Linked DNA regions of Arabidopsis thaliana. The protein of the gene in region 1 purifies or fractionates together with the protein of each later gene. This does not show direct contact. Each region holds a gene or a part of one and is shown on either strand. Other genes may lie near its edges.

What was found.
Region 2: the proteins of SYP52 (region 1) and SYP21 purify together in Arabidopsis thaliana (affinity purification with western blotting, with the first as the bait; one study listed by BioGRID). This does not show direct contact.

Annotation. Positions count from the first base shown.
Region 1 is NC_003070.9:29,940,755-29,952,058, forward strand, and holds SYP52 (syntaxin of plants 52), read left to right. Parts: upstream 1-5,719; 5' UTR 5,720-5,833; coding exon 5,834-5,922; intron 5,923-6,305; coding exon 6,306-6,527; intron 6,528-6,646; coding exon 6,647-6,852; intron 6,853-6,947; coding exon 6,948-7,048; intron 7,049-7,129; coding exon 7,130-7,174; intron 7,175-7,418; coding exon 7,419-7,550; 3' UTR 7,551-8,053; downstream 8,054-11,304. Other genes in the region: SMB (NAC (No Apical Meristem) domain transcriptional regulator superfamily protein), read right to left, coding at 266-919, 1,007-1,278, 1,982-2,171; AT1G79600 (Protein kinase superfamily protein), read right to left, coding at 9,351-9,479, 9,564-11,009, 11,127-11,304. UniProt on the Arabidopsis thaliana protein: Vesicle trafficking protein that functions in the secretory pathway.
Region 2 is NC_003076.8:5,528,208-5,539,713, forward strand, and holds SYP21 (syntaxin of plants 21), read right to left. Parts: upstream 7,089-11,506; 5' UTR 6,946-7,088; coding exon 6,737-6,945; exon of another isoform or gene 6,386-6,736; coding exon 6,292-6,385; intron 6,089-6,291; coding exon 5,952-6,088; intron 5,724-5,951; coding exon 5,649-5,723; intron 5,387-5,648; coding exon 5,229-5,386; intron 5,131-5,228; coding exon 5,030-5,130; intron 4,935-5,029; coding exon 4,869-4,934; 3' UTR 4,639-4,868; downstream 1-4,638. Other genes in the region: AT5G16810 (Protein kinase superfamily protein), read right to left, coding at 23-261, 372-437, 541-621, 841-898, 989-1,087, 1,445-1,671; HSF3 (heat shock factor 3), read left to right, coding at 2,239-2,496, 3,103-4,290; BPA1 (binding partner of acd11 1), read left to right, coding at 7,835-7,840, 8,548-8,657, 8,817-8,886, 9,110-9,184, 9,298-9,819; TERT (telomerase reverse transcriptase), read right to left, coding at 10,116-10,389, 10,507-10,779, 10,879-11,408. UniProt on the Arabidopsis thaliana protein: May function in the docking or fusion of transport vesicles with the prevacuolar membrane.

The DNA.
Region 1 (11,304 bases):
TGTGAGATTTTGCTGAACAAAAATTATATTCTGAAGTGCAAAATGATGGTGGAAACGAAATTGAACCTTCAAGCACCTTTGTGATGATGAGGTATTAGTCTTCGGAGAAACAGAACAGAATATCGTAAATGTAAGACAGAATTATAAAAAACAAAAAAACAAACAGATTCCTCGAACTGTGAGTTGGTTGCTGTGTCAAGTTCGCACAGCTAAAAAAGAGAGAGAATAAAATCGAAAAACATGAGATTCAACAAATCCGATTGATCTACTTTGGGAACTTGAGAAGATTAGCGTCGTTTCCCAAGTAGTGAAACGGAAACCTTTGATTAACTGGAGATGAAGAAGAACCACCATTGTTGTTACCCAAATGATCAGCCTGATCGTTATTATCGTTGTTACTCAAGTCACCAAAACATTTTGCTTGATGGTTCTGCACTTGCTGCTGCTGTTGCTGATTCATGTTGCCTGTAGTGAGAAGCTTGTCCAGAAACGACCAGTCTCCACCATAGTTGTTGTTAGAAGTCAACCTCAGTAGATTCTGTGAACATTCAATGTCCGTAGTGTTGATTGGCGACACAAATGGTTGGGCTGATGCTGCTGCGGCAGCCGCCGCTGCAGCTGAGTCAGGGCTAAAGAGCTGAGGTAGATGCATTGAGCCATGGCTCAGAGTGTTTGCAAACTCATGTAATGGCATGTGGATTTGTCGTCCAATGTGATGATGGTGGTGATGATGATCCAGAGGATGTAGGATCAAAGGAGAATGATTGTTTGAATTGGAGTCAATGTGATGATGGTGATCATGATCATTGTTGGTGCTTATGTATTGGTGATGATGATGATGATCTTGCTCTTGTTCTTGGTGAAATCCTCTGAAATGATTCTTCTTCTTGAACACTCTGCATACAACCCACCCATCTTCCTGCAAATTACACATTAATGATAAATCCACTTTAAGCATTATGATTAGAGATTTCGAGAGTTAAACATTAATTGTGATATGTTGTACCTGAATTTCGTTTTCGCTATCGTCCAAGCGATATTCGTGCATGATCCATTCGGTTTTTTGGCCATGAGGAGCACGACCAGTGTAGAAGACAAGAGTCTTACGAAGTCCAATCTTCTTGGAGCTGTTGAGATGTATGGATTTGTCTCTACCAGTAGCTTTCCAGAACCCGGCTGCTGTCGCCCGGTTCGTTCGGGTCCCAGTCGGATATTTCTTGTCCTTGTGGCTAAAGAAATACCACTCGTTTTGAGGACCCGACCCGATTCTGCATTTCTCTACATACACACAACAACAAAATTTGTTATAAATATAATTGAAAAAATACAATTGTTAATTATAGTCTTAAGTATATATATATATATATTTAAACACACATTTCAAATAAATATATTTACGGCTTACGGCGATGGGTTGTTATATGTCTTCATTGTGAAAAACCATTGACTTATTTTGAGGGTAGTACAAAATAATATTACAAAATATACATTCGTAGTCATATACTACAAGACATTACACTTTGGTCTTCTGTACATAAGTGAATAGACAACTTGTCTCTTTCTTGGTGTATAACGCGCACACACACGTATAAGGTTTCATGTTTCCATAAAAACTGGAAAATAATTTATCAGCATATATGAGAAGAACTGTTCAAACTTAAAAAGACACAAGTAGATGCATGTTTCCATAGAGATCACAGACAAACTCCCTAGACAATATTACCACAATCTATGTATATAATTGTCCTTTGACATCTAACTTGTAATCTTGTGCAGGCCAACGACATAATTCCCCAGATTTTATCTAATCTTACAGCACTCGCTCTATATATAATTAAAATCTATATGACGTTGATTGTGATAGTCTATATACTAATATACTGATCAAGAAATAATTAATAGTCATTCATTAAATGTGTGGATTAGGTGATGGTAATTATAGTTAAAGAAGAGTTAACTATAAGGGGATTATAAATTTTACCTTTAAGTTCCCAAGGTTCCAGCTTGTTGAGATCAACTTCTCTAATTACATCTAAATCAATTGGTTCATAAGAAACCTTCTTCTTGAGGTAATAGTAAAGAAGCTCCTCCTCCGTTGGATGAAACCGGAATCCCGGAGGCACCGAAAGCTGTCCTCCGCCAGCCACCGTGGATGACGACCCTATCTCCATTATCCTTACTCTTCTTTAAGCAAACTTTGACGCTTTCTTTTCGACCTTTGCCCTAATGAAATATTAATTAACCCCAAAGAAAGAAACACACATTATATTGAAGGTTTTAAGTTTTAACAAATTGAGAAATGAATGGGTTTGACCATGCAAGTATGTATCCAATAATCTCAAGGTGTTAATTGGGGTTTGGGTTATATTAGATCTAAAAATCAAAACCCTAGGTTTACCAAATGCATGCATATAGTCACGAAGAACAAAGGCTCCAACTTATTAACCTTTAATTTTAAAACAAAAGATGAATCTTCTATTACATATACCCACATAAGTAAAACCTGAATGTCCAAGAGAAACATGAAGGTGCTGCAAACTGAACGATCTTTGTCTGCTTCTTAAACAAGAGAGGTTTAATGATAGAGACTTAGTCATGTTCTTAAGTAATCAAAGAAAAGAAATGAAAATAGAGAGATGTTTAAGACGAAAAGTACACATGATATATATGAGGAAGTGTGAGGGAGTGCGTGTGTGTATATATATGTAGATGCAGATGATGATGACGACAATGAAAGATATAAGATGGATGAGGAAAGAAACGAACCTTGGAGGCCGGAAAGTATTGCTTCTGTTAGAGGCAAGAGGTAGAAGACAATGAAAGAGAGAGAGCGCAATGAAGTAAGCAAAATGAATTTCTACAAAGCTGAAGATATCTTAGCTTCAAGGGCACGATGTTTAGGGTTTCTATCTCTCTCTCTCTCTCTTTCTTCTTCTTTGAGATAGAAAGAAAGTGTGGAAAGAGAAAGATAGAGAAGCTTGGCTTCTATGGATCAGTGCCACTATTATTTTGTATTAAATTTAATAAACCAAAGCTGGTCACAGAAATATATGAGAAATACTTTAATATGTATAGGCAGTTTCCATTAAATAATTTTTCTTGCCACATATATAAACCTATTCATATTGGTATAAACATCAGCTAAGATGATCAGATCATTCCTATCTAGACTATATATATGTATCTCTCTTACATGGTGATCTGCAAATAATTTTGAAGATTCACCGTTCCATGTCCAATGTTGTGCCTAGCTAGGGCTTAGAAGGTCTATAGCGAATGAAGATTGTGCATGATGTTGTGCCGAAAATAATCTTTTTCTTCGACACTATGTTTCGTTTTTTGTTTCTAATTAATATCAAGTTCTTCGATTTACATATTTGTACAAATCATCGAGTATAAATACCTAGATATACATCTAAAGAATTGTGTATACTATCTTTGACAAAAAAAAAGAAGAAGAGAATTGTGTATATATTACGTATTAGATAGCTACAATATTATTATTTTCTACTGTGACGTAAGTATGATTATGAGGATTAACTATACTAATCAGTAATCACTATGGATTACAGCTGTTATATAGTAAGGCTGACTAATTTGCTTTGAAAACAAGTAGGAATCGATTAATGAGAATGAACTTCGAATACTATATAGTACATGGTAAATATAATATAATACAAGATCTGGTTTATGTATCCCAAGGACAAAACAAAACAGGAATTGAAGCTTCTATGCCCTCAAAATTGCAGTCAAATGTTGGGAAGAAAAATGATGTATCGTACCTTGAATTATGCTCCCACTTACTTTTTTAATGCATCAATTTCAGTGCAGTTTCGTTGGAAATTTAGAAATAAGATTTTCTACAAATGATCTTAATCCTTAAAGTTCCATATTTGCTCCTTACTTACCATATTAGTTATATGAATAACGTTAGAGTGTTCATCAAAAAAAAAAAAAACGTTAGAGAAACTATGGGATTTAAATGAACAGCTAATTATACTATATGATTGAACGTGCAAGTAATATTGGCGCATTTCCACTAGCGTTTTTTTTTCTTAACATTTTGTAAGACAATTTTCATGTAATTTTCTTCTGCTAATTTTTTTTTAGTTTAAACTTTAAAGTTGAAATATTAATACATAATAACGTACGTTCAGTTCACAGACGTTCTTAAGGTTCTGCAAATAGCAGGATTACTATTAATGTTTCCCTATAATGTGTATACACATGATTTATCTGCAGTTGCGTCAAACAATCATAACTGAATTTGTATATATAAAAAGGCATGGGGGATCGATCTTCAAAACTGTGGATATGATTTCCTGAAATATAACTCTTACAAGTTTATGAAATAATCCATTTGATATAAATAAAAAAGTTCACTAAACGAACAAATAGATATAGAGACTTTAGAGCCTTTGACAAAAAGAATAAGAAGAAGAATTGGAATGCAAAGAAGAAAAAAGCAATAATGGAAACCGGTACGTAGGAGGAGGAGTGTGGCACGTGCGGTAGAAGAAGCAAAATCCTGAAAGGCCGTGGAGGAGAGCACGTGATGGTCCAACACCAAATCCACAATTCAAGGTCCCTCGTTTGACTTCACTCTCTCTTCTTGAGATTCGCCTCAAAATTTATCTTCTTCTCACTTTTTTCCCCAAACGAATTACATAAAACTATTAAAGATAAAAACGAATATGATATGAATGGTAACTTTTAATTTCCTAAATTCCATGTAAGATACACGAAACACATAAAAACATTGGATTCTCACGGTAAATAATCTCTTCGTAAAACAATTTATGAAACTTACAAGTTTCTGTTGGCCCAATATTATCTTATTGAGATGTGCCGTTGCCTTCACGAAGACGTCATGCATTAAACCCCTTATTAATGAGCGTTTAATCATATAGAGATACCAACATGTTCTGAAACTTATAATCTTATTTTAGAATCCCCATTATGGCTAATTAAGTGTACGTATAAAATTCAAAGTGATACGCAATTACCTTTAGTATACAATATATATATATGTGTTGTACACCGTTTGGTTCAGGTGAATTACTGAATCACCTGGCTATTTTATAACAAGGAGGGAAATTAAATACTACCATTTTTCGGGTATTTATTATATAAAACATTTTATGAAAATTTATATTAGCCAAACAATCTAAGAGATTTCATTTAAATTAATTACAAGTGTTCATTGTTGATGGATAAATTGCATATTGAGGATGAATACCAAAAAGGTAGGTAGATGCCAACTAGACCAATCTTGTGCACGGCGTCGTTTCATGAGTATATTAAATGGGCCTTAAAAGTATTACCCTTTTTATGACGACCCATTTAATTTAGGAAGCCCAAAGATGAATAAACCTATTATTATTGTTTATGTGTTTATACTTTTGAACCCATAATTTATTTCTGTTATGTCATCTCAACCCTAACTTTATATAATCAGTATTAAATCCAGGCATCTTCAACGAGCCGTCAACAAAGATAGGAAAACGTAGTCGTTTGATACAGCTGGTATAAAATCTGAATTCATTCTTCAAATAAATTAAAATCTTCGTTGGCGTTGTTGTTGGTTGCGTTACAGATTTTGGACTAATCATTATTTTCGTGCCTGCAAAGTCAGCACGACGATCGCGTTTCGATCTTCAAAGTAGAAGAAGACCCGCCACAATCACAAATCGCGGTGCATATAGTCTAAAGGGTAAGCTTTTCGATTCCTTTCACCATGTAAATTTAGGTCAATTCCGTCGCTTCTTTGATTTGGGGTGTTTTTCCTGGCGCGAAATCTTTCCGATTTTCCCTGATTATGAATTTATAAATAATGGGTATCGCAGATTTTGGGTCTCAGTGGCTGATTCTTTTCGACTCTAGTTTCTGCTTCCGCCGTCTCATTTTTTTTTCTACGCAACAGTAAAGTTTTTATTTTTCCACCTGAATTTTCGGATGATGGCCGAAGATTTTGTGTCTATGCTGATACCTAATTTTTCCATCTGAAATTGATTTTATTCACTGCTATTTTCATTTTGTTTTCATATCATTGTGACTCGCTACTAAAAGCTTCTAAATTTGTTGCCTTTTTGTGAAAAGCTCTTTACACGGTCTATGGTAATTGTGTTAAGATTCTTGTTCATCATGTACGAGATTTTCATTGGGTCACAAGAGTTTCGTTGTTGAAGCTACTAGTTTTTTTCATGATCAAATACTTCTTTGAGCTACTTGTGATTCTCTTTACATGATCTTTATGTAGAAGATAAGTATTGCTGTGTTTTAATTAGTTAGGTACTTGTTTTCAGGTCAATGGCCTCTTCTTCGGATCCATGGATGAGAGAGTACAATGAGGCTTTGAAACTCTCTGAGGATATTAATGGCATGATGTCTGAAAGGAATGCCTCCGGGTTAACCGGGCCTGATGCTCAACGTCGTGCCTCTGCAATTCGAAGAAAGATCACCATTTTGGGGACTCGATTAGACAGTCTGCAATCCCTTCTTGTCAAGGTTCCTGGCAAGCAGCATGTGTAAGCCATTCTGATTCTGGTTGCCTGTTCAAACTCCTCATGTTAGACAACGCTAAGTTTCATGTTGGTCTTGAACTATGTAATTATGGTTTATGTGTATGCAATTTGCTGATAAACAGTTCGGAGAAAGAGATGAATCGTCGCAAGGATATGGTTGGGAATTTGAGATCAAAAACAAATCAGGTGGCCTCTGCTTTGAATATGTCAAACTTTGCAAACAGAGACAGCTTGTTTGGAACAGATTTAAAGCCGGATGATGCGATAAATAGAGTCTCTGGCATGGACAACCAAGGAATTGTTGTATTTCAACGGCAAGTTATGAGAGGTAAGATGTGGTATGTAACACTGTTCTAGGACCATAGTAATGATCTTGGCGTCTGTATTAATTTCTCTTTGATTGTATTTTATTTCCATGAGTAGAACAAGACGAGGGACTTGAGAAGTTGGAGGAAACAGTCATGAGTACCAAACACATTGCTCTCGCTGTTAACGAGGAGCTCACCCTGCAGACAAGGCTTATTGTATGTCTCCGCTGTTGTTCATTGCTTTTCTTGTTGATTTTGATTTCTTATTCTAACGAAATGGGACTTTCTTCCATGCAGGATGACTTAGATTACGATGTGGATATCACTGACTCTCGCTTACGGGTAAGTATATGCTTCGAACAAATTAGTCTCATTAGTCACTAGCTTAAGCTGGTCCATTGATAAGCTAAAGAACAATAGGAAGGCAAGCAAGTGATTTTAACAATATACTGGTCTATTATGTCTAAGAATCTCTCGGTCGTTGCTTTTTTTTTTTATCATAAAAAGCAATAATTTTTTAGTTTAATGTGATTCACATCTCGTCTTGGATTTGATGTAGCCTGTTTGTGTTTCTTGATGATTGCAGCGTGTTCAAAAGAGCCTTGCCTTGATGAACAAGAGCATGAAAAGTGGTTGCTCATGCATGTCTATGCTCTTGTCTGTGCTTGGAATCGTTGGTCTTGCTCTTGTAATTTGGCTGCTGGTTAAGTACCTGTAATGCCAATGTGGTGGCAACTTGTGAAAGCTCATCCTTTTCTCTCAGCCTATCCTCTGTGCTTAATGGTTGTTTTCTATTCCTTCTATCGATTGATTCGTGTCTGTGAGGCAAAGAAGAATACCACTGCGTGTAAGAAACCCTCAGAAGTACATAATCTGTATTACCTTCGTATCAACCACGAATTGTAAACTAAGTTGACATTTGTCTATATATGGTATGGCTCCTACTTGGTTCAATAAAGAGAACTAGTGGCTTGGACAATGCAGAGACATAATGGTCAAGATGGCAATCATTTTTTTATAAAGTGACCATCAATTTTTTTATTGTGTGGAAAAATTGATCTCAGTCACATTCTGTAAGGTTAGCCACTTGGCCTTTTAGCTCTGTAGGCGCTGCTTATGATGGGGAGCATTGGCAATCACCTCCTTTGGGGTGATTTCATTGTTTGATTCCGGATTAGAATATGAATTAAACATCTCTAATTGTTTCAAAATCAATTTAACTAGAAATTTTTTCTTAACAAAAGTAATAGAAACTTTTTTGCTTTGTTGTATTTCACAACTCGAAATTGTTATAACCAAATAAATAGATTCATATTTTCTTAAAAAGACCTATAGGTTTGGGTCGAAGTTAAAGATTAAATAAAGTTTTCTGGTAACATTATTTCAATACTGTCAAATAAAAAGTTGTAAACAAAAGTCGCGCGTCATGATTCTCAATATATTGGTTCATTTGATGTTTATAAATTTTTAATGTTTTTGTATACGGAAAAATAACGTATTGTGACAAAAATAGCGTATACGAAATAACCAGGTTAATTGTTTATGGGCTTGTTATTTTATCATAAAAATTTAACCACAGATAAAACAGACATGGGCTCCATAAAATAGGCCCGAAAGACTTAACTTCTTTTTCTTCAAAGTGAAAATACCCATCACGCGCCCCAGTTTATTTATTTTAGCGAAAACAGCAATTTTCGTATAGTCCAGGGATTTCGGGGAGGTGGCGTCGACGCGCTCATTGTGAGAGTGGGTAAAAAACTTAGATTTCACAGCTGCACAACAACGCGCGTCACATCTGGGCAGACTTTATACTGCCCATTGGGCTAGAAGAAGCTTAGTTTTCAGATACTTATAGGCCCACAAAATGTCCAACAGCATAAATAAGCCTTCGATGGCATGCTGATCATAAATTTATCAATTTTAATTCTTATTCATTGGCTGCTATCTCCTCTGATTTTGTTGTGCTCGATGTCATTGTAACTGAAGATGCGGTGTAGAAGCAGTTTTTCGTATTATCTGGATAAATGTAAATTTGTATGCATTTGCTTTTTCATTGTTTTCCTAATGGAGTAATCATGTTGATTCTGGATTATGTCTTCAAGTGAAAGTAGGTTCTCTAGCATGAAGGTTTTAAGAGAGAACTAGGAGCTCAACAAGTTGCGTTGTTTTTGCTTCTCTTGATGAACAATAAAAGGGACAAGCTCGAGCTCGAAGCAGCGAATCAGAAACGAGAAACTTACATAGAGCCCTTCCCTCCAGCATTAAAAAGGATGAGCACTTGAGTTTTTGGACTGTACATTGCTCAACTGTGTATCAAACTGTTAAATCCCACAATTTTGCAAATTAAATGCCTATTTTTTGGAGGTATTTCTCATTGGTTATACTTTGGTCCTTTTTCACTAGTACAATACAAAGAGAAAGAATGATACTATATTACTGTAACATGAAACAATTCTGTGGTTTGCGAGTGTCTCGCCTTAATATACAATTTACCATTTCACTGAGAAGAAAAGAGGACCTATGGGGATGGTGCAGAAGATGGTGTTGTGGCTCGAAGAAGTTGTTGCAGAAACCGAGCTGCAAGACGTTGGCCTACACCGCCTGCAACACGTCCTCCAAGTCTTCGTGCCTCTGGTTGTTGTAACACCTGATTTTAAAAATATAAGAGTTTAGCTCATCAATCAATTTTATGTTATGTACCAGTCTCAGTGCACAAGATCAATGAAGTCACCTGTAGTATTGGTTGCAAAATAGCAGGATCAAAGCTTTCTGAAGATTGAAGAAGGCCCCAGATTCTGGAGACCTGATCCCGAAGCTCAAGCGTACTTTGAAGTTCCGCGGTACTCATTGTAAGAGGGCCATTCCCATTTCCATTGAAGACAAGAGATCTCAGAAACTCAGGAAGGGAATTGTATGTATCAACAACAGTGCCCAGCGCAATTGCTTCACTGACTCGTACAGCTTCTTTAATTACTAACAATCGAAGTTCTTCGCCATTTGGATCCAGCAAAAGCTTCAAAACTGGTTGTAGAGCATCCTTTGCTGAGAAGTCTCTATCTTTACTTCCCTGTTGTAGAAGGTTCTCGAGTCTATTCCACCTAAATTTTCCGTCTTTGAATAGTAGCTCGATAAGGGCATCTCTTAGATACGGGTTTGGATCAGTGAGAAGCCTTTTGGCAAAATATGGGTATGAAGCAGCTAGTACTTTGAAATTAGGATCTGCGTAGAGTGCCAAACCTTCAAGCACAGTAAGCGACCTCAAAATCAAAGCATAGTAGGGCGGGACATTAAATGGATACTGGTAGAAGACAGCACCTAGACCATCAACCAAAGTTTTGAAATTGAGCTCGCTCACGGTATAATTAAGTGCATCGTCAAAGAAGTCTCTGAGAGCTGGTATGATAGGAGTAACATCCACATCAGGGGACAAGAACTTCAGAGCATAGTAATCTCGTGCCATGGCTTCATAATCTCGGTTCACTAAATGGACAACATGGCCTATGATAGCAAATCTAGCTTCCTCTGGTGTCTCACTCATCATGCCAAAGTCTAGAAAGGCAAGTTTTCCATCAGGTGTTGCCAAGAGATTACCAGGATGAGGGTCAGCATGGAAAAAGCCATACTCCAAGAGTTGCCTTAGGCTACACTGGATTCCTGTATTCACGAGATCCAGAACCTTCAATCCCTGACTCTCAATGGCAAGTTGCTCATTCAGTTTAGTTCCCTCAACCCATTCCATTGTTAGCACCTTGCGGCTCGTGTAATCCCAGAATATATCAGGCACAAGAACATCTGCTTTATCTGCATACAATTTTTTAAACCTTCTGGCATTTTGGGCCTCCTGGACATAGTTTAGCTCCTGATAAACTCTGCAGGCGAACTCATCGATAAGGGTAAGGACATCGGTAGTGATGAAGTCTACATACTTGTTAATGAGTTTCCCAACTCCTCTAATAAGGTAAAAATCAAGGCCAATGGCTTCTTCGATCCCAGGGCGTTGAACTTTGACAGCAACAACCTGACCTGAATACCTCAGCTGAGCTTTGTAAACCTGGCCAAGACTAGCTGCTGCGATTGGCTCAGGAGATACAGACGAGAAAATGGTCTCTAGCGACAAATCCAACTCTCTCTCAATGCAAGCAAATGCCTCTGCATCAGGGAAGGTTGGCAAAGCATCCTACTTAGACACTCAAGCACATAATATAGAGAAAGTTAGAGATGTTCTCTTTACCTATTTTCAAACAGAAGATTCTTAATTACATATACGTAAAGCAGAGAGAGGAAAGAGGAGAACCTGAAGCTCTGCAAGTTCTTCAAGGTAATCGGGTGGACAGAGGTCGGGTCGGGTGGACAAACCTTGACCCAATTTAACAAAAGTAGGTCCGAGACGAGTGAAGATCCGCCGGAGCTCGATTGCTCTCTTCTTCATGTTCTTCTCTAAGTTGCCCTGCTTCTGGTCAATCCCCAATTTC
Region 2 (11,506 bases), on another chromosome or scaffold:
ACGTGCTCATGGGGGAACATACTTGAGAACAATTGAGGATGGCCCGAGGCTTTGATGTAACCTGTCATTATCATGCATAAAGGCTAGACCCTTCATTGCACCCTGAAGGATCTTAATAACAAAGTTTCTCCTTCGTTTTATCATCTGCTCTTTTTCATAAGGATTCCATACTCCTTGGGAGCGAGCTCTGGTTGTTTTTTCACTCGCAGTTTGCGCGTAGTCAGCTGCACTATCTTTCCCACCATCACGAAAAGCCAGCCACTGTAAGAATGAATTGACTCAGCCTATGTTCCATAAGGTATGCCAAAATATCCACAAACTAGTGCAGCTTAGATTCAACAAACTACAGTGCCACATATTGTAAGCCTGACCTGTTCCCCAAGTTGTGTCTCAAAGCCACCAACAAGTAGAAGCAGATTAGCAGGCAGGCTTTTGCTCTGTATAGACAAGCAGAATAACAAGTTGATTTCACTATTAGCCACCAAGGAGATGTAATTGCTAAGAATCTATTTAGCATTTTTGCATGGCTATTTATCCAACCTGGAGAAAAGAGTGTGCATTAAGCTCGTTTGCTGCCATCATGTCAGCCTCAACTCCACCAGCACGCTGTCCGGGGTAGACCTTTACAGAGACAAGTATGTGAGGGAAAGAATGAATGCAAAGCAATAAAATATCCAAATGAAGTTTTGATGATTCTAATAATGTAAGGAGGACTCGCACAGCTGAACAAAATATGCCCAGATAATGTAGAGAGACTCATGAAAAATGGAAACTGCCTTCAGGAAAAGAACAATATTGGCTGAGAAGAAGAAACAAGATTGACAAAACATGCAGAATCACCTTAAAGACGACAGGCGTTCCTCGAAATGGACCCTGAGATATTCGTCCTTGATATAGTCTGCATACAAACTGCTGTGGCTAATACATTTTTAACTTGACCAAATATATTACCATCTAATAAATTGTCTACACAAAGCCAAAAGTGCACCTGATCTTAACGGCACCTTCTCCAATATCTTGAGATTTTAATCGCCCAATATCATCAGACGTATATTCAAAGTCAGATCCTGACTGCAGCCCTGTATAACTAGGAGTATAGAAGTGGTGAAAAGCTAAGTAAACGAAGTAGAACACAGCGGCAGATAAAAGAGTAAAACTAGACCAACAAACGTAGCATAATCTAGCTAAAGATGCACAATAATCATAAGAAAGGTCAATGTATCCCAATTCAAATACACTAACAAAAGTGATTTTTTTGTTAAACCCTTCGAATAATTGTCAAGCTCACGTATACATTGCAATGAGTGCATAAACCTGTTGCAACTACAGATTCACACATACACAAACAATTTCGATATAAAATTAGAGATTTCGTTACACGAAGACGTAGAAACAACACAGAAGCTCCAGATAAAGAGAGAAATCAAAAATCCAGTGAGAGTACCTAGTTACATTCATGAATCCGTAGCTTCCGATAAGCCGCCCTACCTCGAACGAGTCAGCACTGGTTATCAAACTCGCTGTCACCGCATGCAACCGCCGAATCGGCCGATTCCGTCCACGCGAATTTACAATCCGACAGCCGGAGAATCCATCGCCTGATTCTCTATGTTTCAAAGAGAAACGCGAAACGCATTCGAAGGAAACGCGATGAATAGCGACCAGATTCATCGCTTTTGTTTGTGTTTCGTCGCTTCACTTCAAATTACTTTCCAGGATTTAACGAGTGTCAGTGTCAGTATAAGAGAGAGAGAGATAAGAGCCAGGAAAGTTTTCTCTGTGTCTTACGTGGCTTTTAATATACATAATTAAATGATATAATCGTGCGTCGTATAGATAAATATCTGAGATAATCTTATTAAATTTTAACGGTGTATATTATGCCACGTATGAAACTCACCGAGAAAAACAGAAAAAGCTGCTATCGATGCTACGTGTACTTTTAAACCGAATTAATCCGAACCAAATCAAAATACACGAAATGAAACCGTTTAATTTAGGTGACAGTCAGAGTGTCTACCAAAACTAATCGTACAAAACCGAACTGAATTGAACCGAAATGGCCATGCCTGCTTTTCTTCAGCTTTAAGGGAAAAGATCAAAGATTGGGTCTTCAACACTTGAGAGAGTCTCTGTCTCTGTAAAAGATATTTGAGCTTGAGAAGAACAGAAGAAACTTCCAGGATCAATCAATCGATCAACTTTAGTGAACTAACTCTTGATTTTTCATTCGAAGTTATGGAATCGGTTCCCGAATCCGTACCATCGCCGAACTCGAATACACCGTCAATACCACCGCCGGTGAACTCCGTACCGCCTTTCTTGAGTAAAACCTACGACATGGTTGATGATCCGTTGACCAATGAGGTCGTTTCGTGGAGCAGCGGGAACAACAGCTTCGTCGTCTGGAGTGCCCCGGAGTTCTCGAAGGTGCTCTTGCCCAAGTATTTCAAGCACAACAACTTCTCCAGCTTCGTCAGACAGTTAAATACTTATGTAAGCATCATTTTTTGTGTTATTGTCAATTTATTTTTCTAGAAATTGATCGTTTTTTCGTGGTACAATTTGGGGAACATCGTGAAATGTTGAAGGGTTCTAGTCTTAGTGACTAGATCCATGGATGTGTTGGATTATTTTTAAAGCCATATCAATCTGTCTACTCATCAAAAGATTCCACAGAACTTTGCAGGCGCACTGTCACATATGTCTGAAGATTGTTTCCTCAATTGTTTTCTGCCTTGTAGCTCTAACAAAACAGAATGTCTATCAGTTGTCTGAACATTAGCTTTGTTTTCATTTGTATATTTCCGTCCAGGTACACTTTTTTGATAAACTAAGAACTATTACTTTCCTTATAACATGGTGATTTTGTGCTACACCCAAGCATAGTGTGGAGAATTTGTTTACTTCTCAAACTTTGCTATAACTAGAACATATAACTAATCTGGTCTGTTTTCTAGTCTACCTGTTTAATGTTTATACATTTTTGTACAATTGCGCTATGTTGGCTTTTCTTCTTCCCCTAAATTCAAGCAACATCGTTTCAGTTCTTCAATTTGAATTTCGATATTTATGATAGCCTCTCTGTATTCTGATGTCCAGGGTTTCAGAAAAGTTGATCCTGACCGATGGGAATTTGCAAATGAAGGATTTCTTAGAGGCCGAAAACAACTACTGAAGAGTATTGTCAGGAGAAAACCTTCGCATGTGCAGCAGAATCAGCAACAAACTCAAGTTCAGAGCTCATCTGTTGGTGCTTGTGTCGAGGTGGGGAAGTTTGGAATAGAAGAAGAAGTGGAAAGACTTAAGCGGGATAAGAATGTTCTTATGCAAGAACTCGTCAGGTTAAGGCAGCAACAGCAAGCTACTGAAAACCAACTGCAGAATGTGGGACAGAAAGTTCAGGTGATGGAGCAAAGGCAACAACAAATGATGTCGTTTTTAGCAAAGGCTGTTCAAAGTCCAGGTTTCTTAAACCAGTTAGTACAACAGAATAATAATGATGGCAACAGACAAATTCCAGGAAGCAACAAAAAGAGGAGACTTCCTGTAGATGAGCAGGAGAATCGTGGTGACAATGTGGCTAATGGTCTTAACCGCCAGATTGTTAGATATCAGCCGTCGATAAACGAAGCAGCACAAAATATGCTTCGACAGTTCTTAAATACTAGTACCTCACCTCGGTATGAATCAGTTTCAAACAATCCTGACAGTTTCCTATTGGGTGATGTTCCCAGTTCTACCTCTGTAGACAATGGGAACCCTTCAAGTAGAGTTTCTGGAGTAACATTGGCCGAGTTTTCACCCAACACAGTTCAGTCAGCAACGAATCAAGTACCCGAAGCAAGTTTGGCTCATCATCCTCAAGCTGGTCTGGTTCAGCCAAATATAGGTCAAAGTCCGGCTCAAGGAGCAGCACCTGCAGACTCTTGGAGCCCTGAATTTGATTTAGTTGGATGCGAGACAGATAGTGGAGAGTGTTTTGATCCAATAATGGCTGTTTTAGATGAGTCAGAAGGCGATGCAATTTCTCCTGAAGGTGAGGGCAAGATGAATGAGTTACTGGAGGGAGTCCCTAAGCTGCCCGGAATCCAAGATCCATTCTGGGAACAGTTCTTTTCTGTTGAACTCCCAGCGATTGCAGATACAGACGATATTCTATCAGGATCAGTGGAGAATAATGACTTGGTATTGGAACAAGAACCAAACGAGTGGACCCGTAATGAACAACAAATGAAGTATCTTACTGAACAAATGGGACTGCTTTCCTCAGAAGCACAGAGGAAATAAAGGTAAGAACATCGTTAAGTTCAAACATGTTTCTCTGCATTGTTGTATATCTTGAGAGTTATCAATTGTCTCTCACAATGTAGATTTTCAGGGGAGGTTGCAAAAGGAGATATGAAGGAACGAGGAATATATCAGATGGTGTGTATACCCTTTACATTTTTACTTAAATGAAAAAAAAACAGAGAGAAGAAACATAAAAGATTTACCACCAAGCTTGTGAATAGTTAGTAGAGATCGGTTTTTGTGTTGTTTATATTATACTTTTGTGTGAAAACGTTCATCTTGTTCAATTATCATCTCACTAGTACGGTAATCTGTTGGTCACTGACCGGTTAATGACCAAAAAATCAAGATTATTTTCTTATGTTTATTTCTTTTGATCATGAAGATCCTTATGATGGAGTAATACATTGATTAAACATTCACACGATGAGAAGTTAAGATCAATTTGGTTGAATGGGGAAGATGGAGTATAAAGAATCTGTACATTAGATATATATCTTTAATGGGTCTTTGTATAGTTTCCATAGATTCGCTTGATGCTTGAAGATTGAAGCTTGGAGTTATATGTTTGATGCTTAGACCAAGACAACGATGATGACAATGAGTAGAACAATCCCAAAAATGAGAATAAGTAGGCATGTCTGCAACAAAGTAAAAGACAACAAACTTAGCTTAAGCTGCTAAGAATATGAAATCACAGAACTGAAAATGAGAAGAGAGTCTGTTTAGTCCGTACCAAAGAGGAGTTTGATCTTTGAGTTTTAGCTGCTTTTCTGAGTTGAACAGTGGCTTGTGTAGTTGCAGCATGTGAGTTGTCAAGGTTAGAGCTGATGTCATCTGCCAGTGCACATTATAGTTTTTTTCTGAGACTTTAAAAAGGCAAAGAGAAAACGAACAGGGAGATTTACAATTTCTGATTGTTTGGAGTTACTTACCGACAATATTTCCTTGATGGTTCACCATAAGAGCTAGATCTTTGAACATGCCATTCACATCACGAATCTGGTCTTCAATTTCTCGAATCCCTTGCTCTCTTTCCTCAATAATTGCTTCATTGAATGTTATCTCGTTATCTAAAAACACCACTTCTTGCCTGGAATGAGAATATAAAAAGTTAGCGAATAGCAAGCATCTCCCTGCATCCAGGGACATAACCAACTTCGAAAAATTTATTAACCTATTCTAAGGCTTCTATTAACAATTCAGGCTACAGTGAGTGCCAAGTGTAACGATGGTTTGAATTTGAACTCTCGAGAGCAAAATGCATGCTAGACTAACATTTGGTTTATGCTTATAATTGATCAAATGAATTAGTAAAATAACATGCTAGCATATAATCAAATCACACTCCTCACCTTCTTGATTGTAGAAGAAGAGCTTGCTGCTGGGAGATCCTTAAAGATTCAGTATCCAGTTCAGGTGCATTATAACTGCATGGTGTGGCATGACAATGAAGCATGTGTAAGTGAAACTCACATTCCACAAAATATCAGAACAATCCTACGTTCAAAAATTCTTTTGTACAAAACAACAATAATAACATGCGAGTATATAATCCGGAGACTTTTTTTCTTCTCATTTAGGAAACAACGAGATTCATTTACCATGATCTTCTGTTTTTTAACAGGTATTGAAACATAACTGGTCAAAGTGGTTACCTGGTAGGTATTTCTTTTGTGACCACAGGAGTATATGTTATTTCTCTTTCAGCTGCAAGTCTCTGAGCTTTCTGAAACTCTTTGAGAACTGATTGGAAATCTTTTGCCAGTTTAGCATCAGCTATCTTCTTAATTTGCTGCAAGAATACAAACATAACATCAAAACTAGAATACACATATCATCAATCATGTAAACAATTCTCCCACTAAATGAATAAAATGGTACGATTCTGACAAAATTAAACCAAAATAAAACTGGTTCAATAGAAAATGTTCTCTTAGACACTAACATTCCATAGCATCGTAAGGGAATGAAACAAAAAAGTAAGCATTTGCTTACACTAGCTGATCCATGAAGGTCGGCTTCGCTAGCTTCCTTAAGTTTAGCTGAAGTATTCTTCACCAATTCGGATATCTGTAACCTTGTCTTTTGCCTGCCAACAAAAGAACCTAACACTTTAAAACAATTCACAGAACAAATAGATGAAACCAATCTAAAAAAAAAACAATTTCTCAATACACACACACACACACACACACACAAAAAGCTCATTATTTGCAATGTTGTCAGGCATTATTTGCAATGTTGTCTCACATCGATCAGCAAACTCAAATTTGTTCTTCGGTTAAGGGAAAATAATGCAGGATTAGCTTCAAAACAATTAGAAAACTTTTTCAATTAAAAATTGAAATGAAATCGACCAAAATCAATAAGTAAAACCAAAACCCTAATCAACAGAGATTTAACAAAGAGAAGAAGAGTGTGATTAAGAATTGCTACTGACAGCTTATCTCGTAATTCAAGAGTATCTTTAGGTGTTCCGATCGAATTAACGAGGCGGAAGAAGGAATTGACAGCCGTGCTGATCCTGAAAATCCCGGCGGCGACCTCCTGAGATGGATCCCCACGAGACGAAGGTCTCTGTTGTCTCCCACCGGTAAAACGATTCGGCGCCGGAGATCGAGTACCAGCTTCGAGATCTTGGAAACTCATCGTCTCTTCTCTCGAATCTCTCGAAATTCTCTTATCTCTATCTCAGGGGAACAAACGAAGACGAAGATGATGGAAATGAGTTAGGTGAATTATAAGTTTTCCCAAAATTTAATGTTAATTTTTGTTTTATAATTTGTATAAATCATTTAATCTCATGTGGTCCGCGTGAATATGGTGGTGGAGGGAATTTATTAATACGTATAAATTATTTGGCGGTGACACGCCATTGCGAGGGAAGAATCCTGCGTGTCGTTGTTGACCTCACCTGCCCTTCCGTGTAAAATTGAAACTCGGTTCGAGTAAACCGGACCAATTGAGTGGGTTTGCAGGATAAGGATTGGTTAAATGATTTTGGGCTACATTGGAGTTTAGTAAAAGGAAAAGAGAAGAGTTGGGCCAAAAACAAGGAGAAGTCCAACTTTTTTGTAATTACCAAGTTATCATATTTTATGACTGAATTAATAATTACAGTAATCACTTTGATACATAAACCACTTTTTATAGAAAAACAATGATATATTTTTGTTGATAAAAAGTAAAATTTTTATGTATTTTTTTCTAATAAAACATAAACTTAATAATTGTGTTACGAAACTCCTAACTTTTGTTTTGAACTGAAGAGGGAAAAAATAGAAATATATACTAAAAAAGTGAAAATATTAATTGTTGGAAACAATTAGGGACTAAAATAGGATTAAAGGGCGTAACGCAAACCCACACGTTGAGTGTGAGGTGTCATATAAAGCAAAATACACTCTTCCCTCTCTATCTATCTACGCATCATCGATCTCGAAGTACGTTTCGGTTTTCAGGCCAATCTCTGAATCTGCGTGACAAAAGCAACAAATTACATATCTCTCTCTCTGCGCGACTTCGAAGATCAACATCCATGGCGGTATGCTCTACTTTTTTTTTGTGTATAATTTTGTTTTATGCGGAAAAGGTTTAGGTTTCCTCTGCTGGTAGATATTGTTGCGATCCATTTGTTTATCGGGAAATTTTCTCAGGATTGATATTTTTGGCTATTGATTTGATTTCTTCTTCAATTTGGATGATCTGTTGTTTGATTGCTGCACTTGCCGACATAATATCTCCAATGCTATTTGGACGAGTTTGATGATTATTATTGTCGTTATTAATTGATTCTGTATCTCTGTGTGATCTGTATTCGTGCAATTATCTCTATTATCTCCTTGATTTCTCGGTTTTGGTTTTCGTTTATCGTAGTAAATCGCGATTGTGTTATTCTCAATTTGGAACCGAATCTCGCTAGCCAATTTACTTTTAGATTCCTCCATACATTGTCGATTAGTTTCCTTAATTGGTAGCCTTCATGGTTCATTCGAGTTTTCTTTTTGTATAGTGAGATGATGACAGTCATCTTCTAAGCCACTATAATATTATCCCTTTACTTGCATAATTGTATAATCTTGTGATAAATCTAGGCTTCTTTGAGTTTGAGCTGATTTGATTAAAATGGGACTTTCGGTCGATTAGATATGCTTGGATACAAAAAGTAGTTGTACTGTAAACATTCTCATGAAACACCTGTTTATTGTTTTCGTTAATGATTCTTTCCCTTTTGATTCTTTATGATGACAGTCACAGGTAAGGTCAGTAAAAGTTGGCAATCTCTCTTCAGGAGCAACTGAGCATGATATTAAAGAGTTTTTCTCTTTCTCTGGTGAAGTTGAAAGCATCGATATCCAAAGGTTAGTGATATTGTTTCCTTGTTCTTTGATTTCAAAATTTTGACATTTAAAGCTTTTTTTGATCAATTAACTTCCGAAGCTTTTTCTCAGCAAATTTAGATACAGTTCTCTTAAACTTACTGACTCTGAGCTTTGTTTTTGTTTTCTTTTTCTAACTAGCAGTAACGAGCATAGTGCTTATGTCACATTTAAAGAAACTCAAGGAGCAGAGACTGCTGTGCTCTTATCTGTGGGTTCACTCTTATCTCAATATTATTGTAGTAGCATTCAACTCTTACATAACACTGTTAATTTAGTAATCAATCCATGTCTATAAACCTTCGTTTAATATGGTTATACTTCTCTAGTCCAGACAAAGTATCTCTGAGTATTTATAAGTAAAATTAGTTTGCTTACAACTAATATTTGGGACCATTTGCAATTTGCATTACTAACAAGGGGTGTTATTTCAGGGAGCGAGTATTGCCGATCAATCAGTCATCATTGAGTTGGCTCCCAACTACAGTCCACCAGCAGCCCCTCATGCTGTAATGTCTTCTTCATACTGTTTTTCTTCTTTTTGATTAGTGAAAAGTATTCATCTCAACACTCAATAGAGCAGTAATTTCGTAGAGGTGTTAATTTGTGTTAATTTTCTCAGGAAACACAGAGCAGCGGTGCAGAATCTGTTGTCCAGAAGGCAGAAGATGTTGTGAGCAGCATGTTAGCAAAGGGTTTCATTCTTGGGAAAGATGCTGTCGGCAAAGCAAAAGCTTTTGATGAGAAACATGGTTTCACCTCAACCGCCACCGCAGGAGTTGCTTCACTAGACCAAAAAATCGGTCTTAGCCAGAAACTTACAGCTGGAACAAGCTTGGTGAACGAAAAAATCAAGGCGGTGGACCAAAACTTTCAGGTAACAGAGAGGACCAAGTCTGTGTATGCAGCTGCGGAGCAGACTGTGAGCAGTGCAGGAAGCGCTGTGATGAAGAACCGTTACGTGTTAACTGGTGTGAGCTGGGCCGCAGGAGCATTCAATAGAGTGGCTCAAGCAGCTGGAGAGGTTGGACAGAAAACAAAAGAGAAGGTTGAAGCTGAGCAACCATCGCAACCAGCACAGTCGCAGCAGCAACTGCCAGAAGGGTATTCTCCGATTCATTCGTCCGAATACTCGAAGAACTAATATCATCAAGTTAAACAGTTTCCTTTGTTTCTCCTTGTTGGTTTCTTTGACATGGAAGTTGGAAATCTGGTTTGGTCTTTGGGATGTACCATATAAGCTATGCCTGGATTTTCCCTACCACTATTAGACTATAGTTTGGGTTTTTTCCAATATACATATTTAATAAGTTGACATTTAAATCTTTCTTTACCCTAAATGTTACAAATCCATTTTGTTCCTAGATTATCAAAATGACTGAAATAGAAATTTAAAGGATCTACCTAAGTTTCGATGATAAAATCTAGTTAAGATCAGTTTCAATAATTCAACTTCCACAGCGAAGAAGAGTTTGACCGGTCTGTTGCATACCTCAATTCCGACGATAGCTGCTGAGAAAGAGAGTGTTTAGAAAGTGCAGATTTTAAATAGATCAAGAGCATTCGATATCTCGAGTTTTTCTTCTTCAGAACTTGAATATAAGCGTCTAAGCCAAGCCATATCACTTCTTCTTTGTATAGTTTAAGAACTGGTCTGAAACTAGAACCAGTGTTGATTCTGCGCACCCTTCTATTTATGAGTCTGAACATGTACCTATCAGTTGGAAAGAAATCAAGAACCGAATAAGCAAAAAAAGACCGAATAACTCAAATCAGAATGATCCAAAAACCGAAATGCTCACAGACATATGATGTAGTTTTGATTCCATACCTGACAGATATTGTGATGAATTTGAACAAAGTTTGAGGATGAAGCTTCCAAAACCGGGACACCTCGTAGACATAACAGTGAAACTTCATTGCAGCCAACAGAAAGATCTGATAGATGTTTAACCTGACGATTTCTCCCGAGTTGATGTTCGAGTCAAATAGAATTGGATGACATTTCGGAACCAAGAAGTAACACAATTTTTGCCGAAGATTTCTAACTGGTTTGTTCTGCCAAGCTACAGAAAAAGTTGAGCTTATATGGCCACTCAAGTACCTGTTTCCATGAATTTGAGGCAAAATTATAAATAAAAGCTGAGGAAACAGAGCCAAACAAGTATACTTATGAAGGAAACATACAGGAGATGAGGCAGACCTTGTGTAGTCAACTTGAACTTCAAATGTGCGGGAATTAATAAGCAAACCCGTCCATCTGACAAAAGGAACTCCATTATCTCCCACAAACATTCTATTAGAAGAACACCTATGTTCTTCTTTATCTTCAAAATTTATGCAGAATTTTGTTTCGTTCATGAAGCAGTTGTAATCTTTAAATCCATGCTTCAACCTGTGATAGAAGCTACTCGCCTGATCTCTTGAGGTAGACACAAAAAGGTAGTCATCAATAAATCTCAGTAACTTATAGCTCGTGGGAATTATAAGCTCTTCCTCTCTACTGCATTCTTTAGAAGACACATCTTTAGAGGCTTCTTCGAGGAATGGGTAGATCAAAGTCCTCTCGAGATGCCCGTAGTAAAAACAACATAACAAGGATGATAATCTGTGTCCCTGAGGTATTCCAGCTATTTGTACATAGAAGCTTTTATCCAACTGCAGCATGTTGTTCTTTAGCATATTTCCTATCCAAACCATTAGATCCTTTTTCCTCACTCGATGGTTTTCTCCCTAGAAGGTTGGACCAAAACCATAACACCGTTAAGCAAATAAGTAAAGAACAACAGGGACGCTACAAGCACTAAGAAAAGAGATCTCTAGAGATTTTT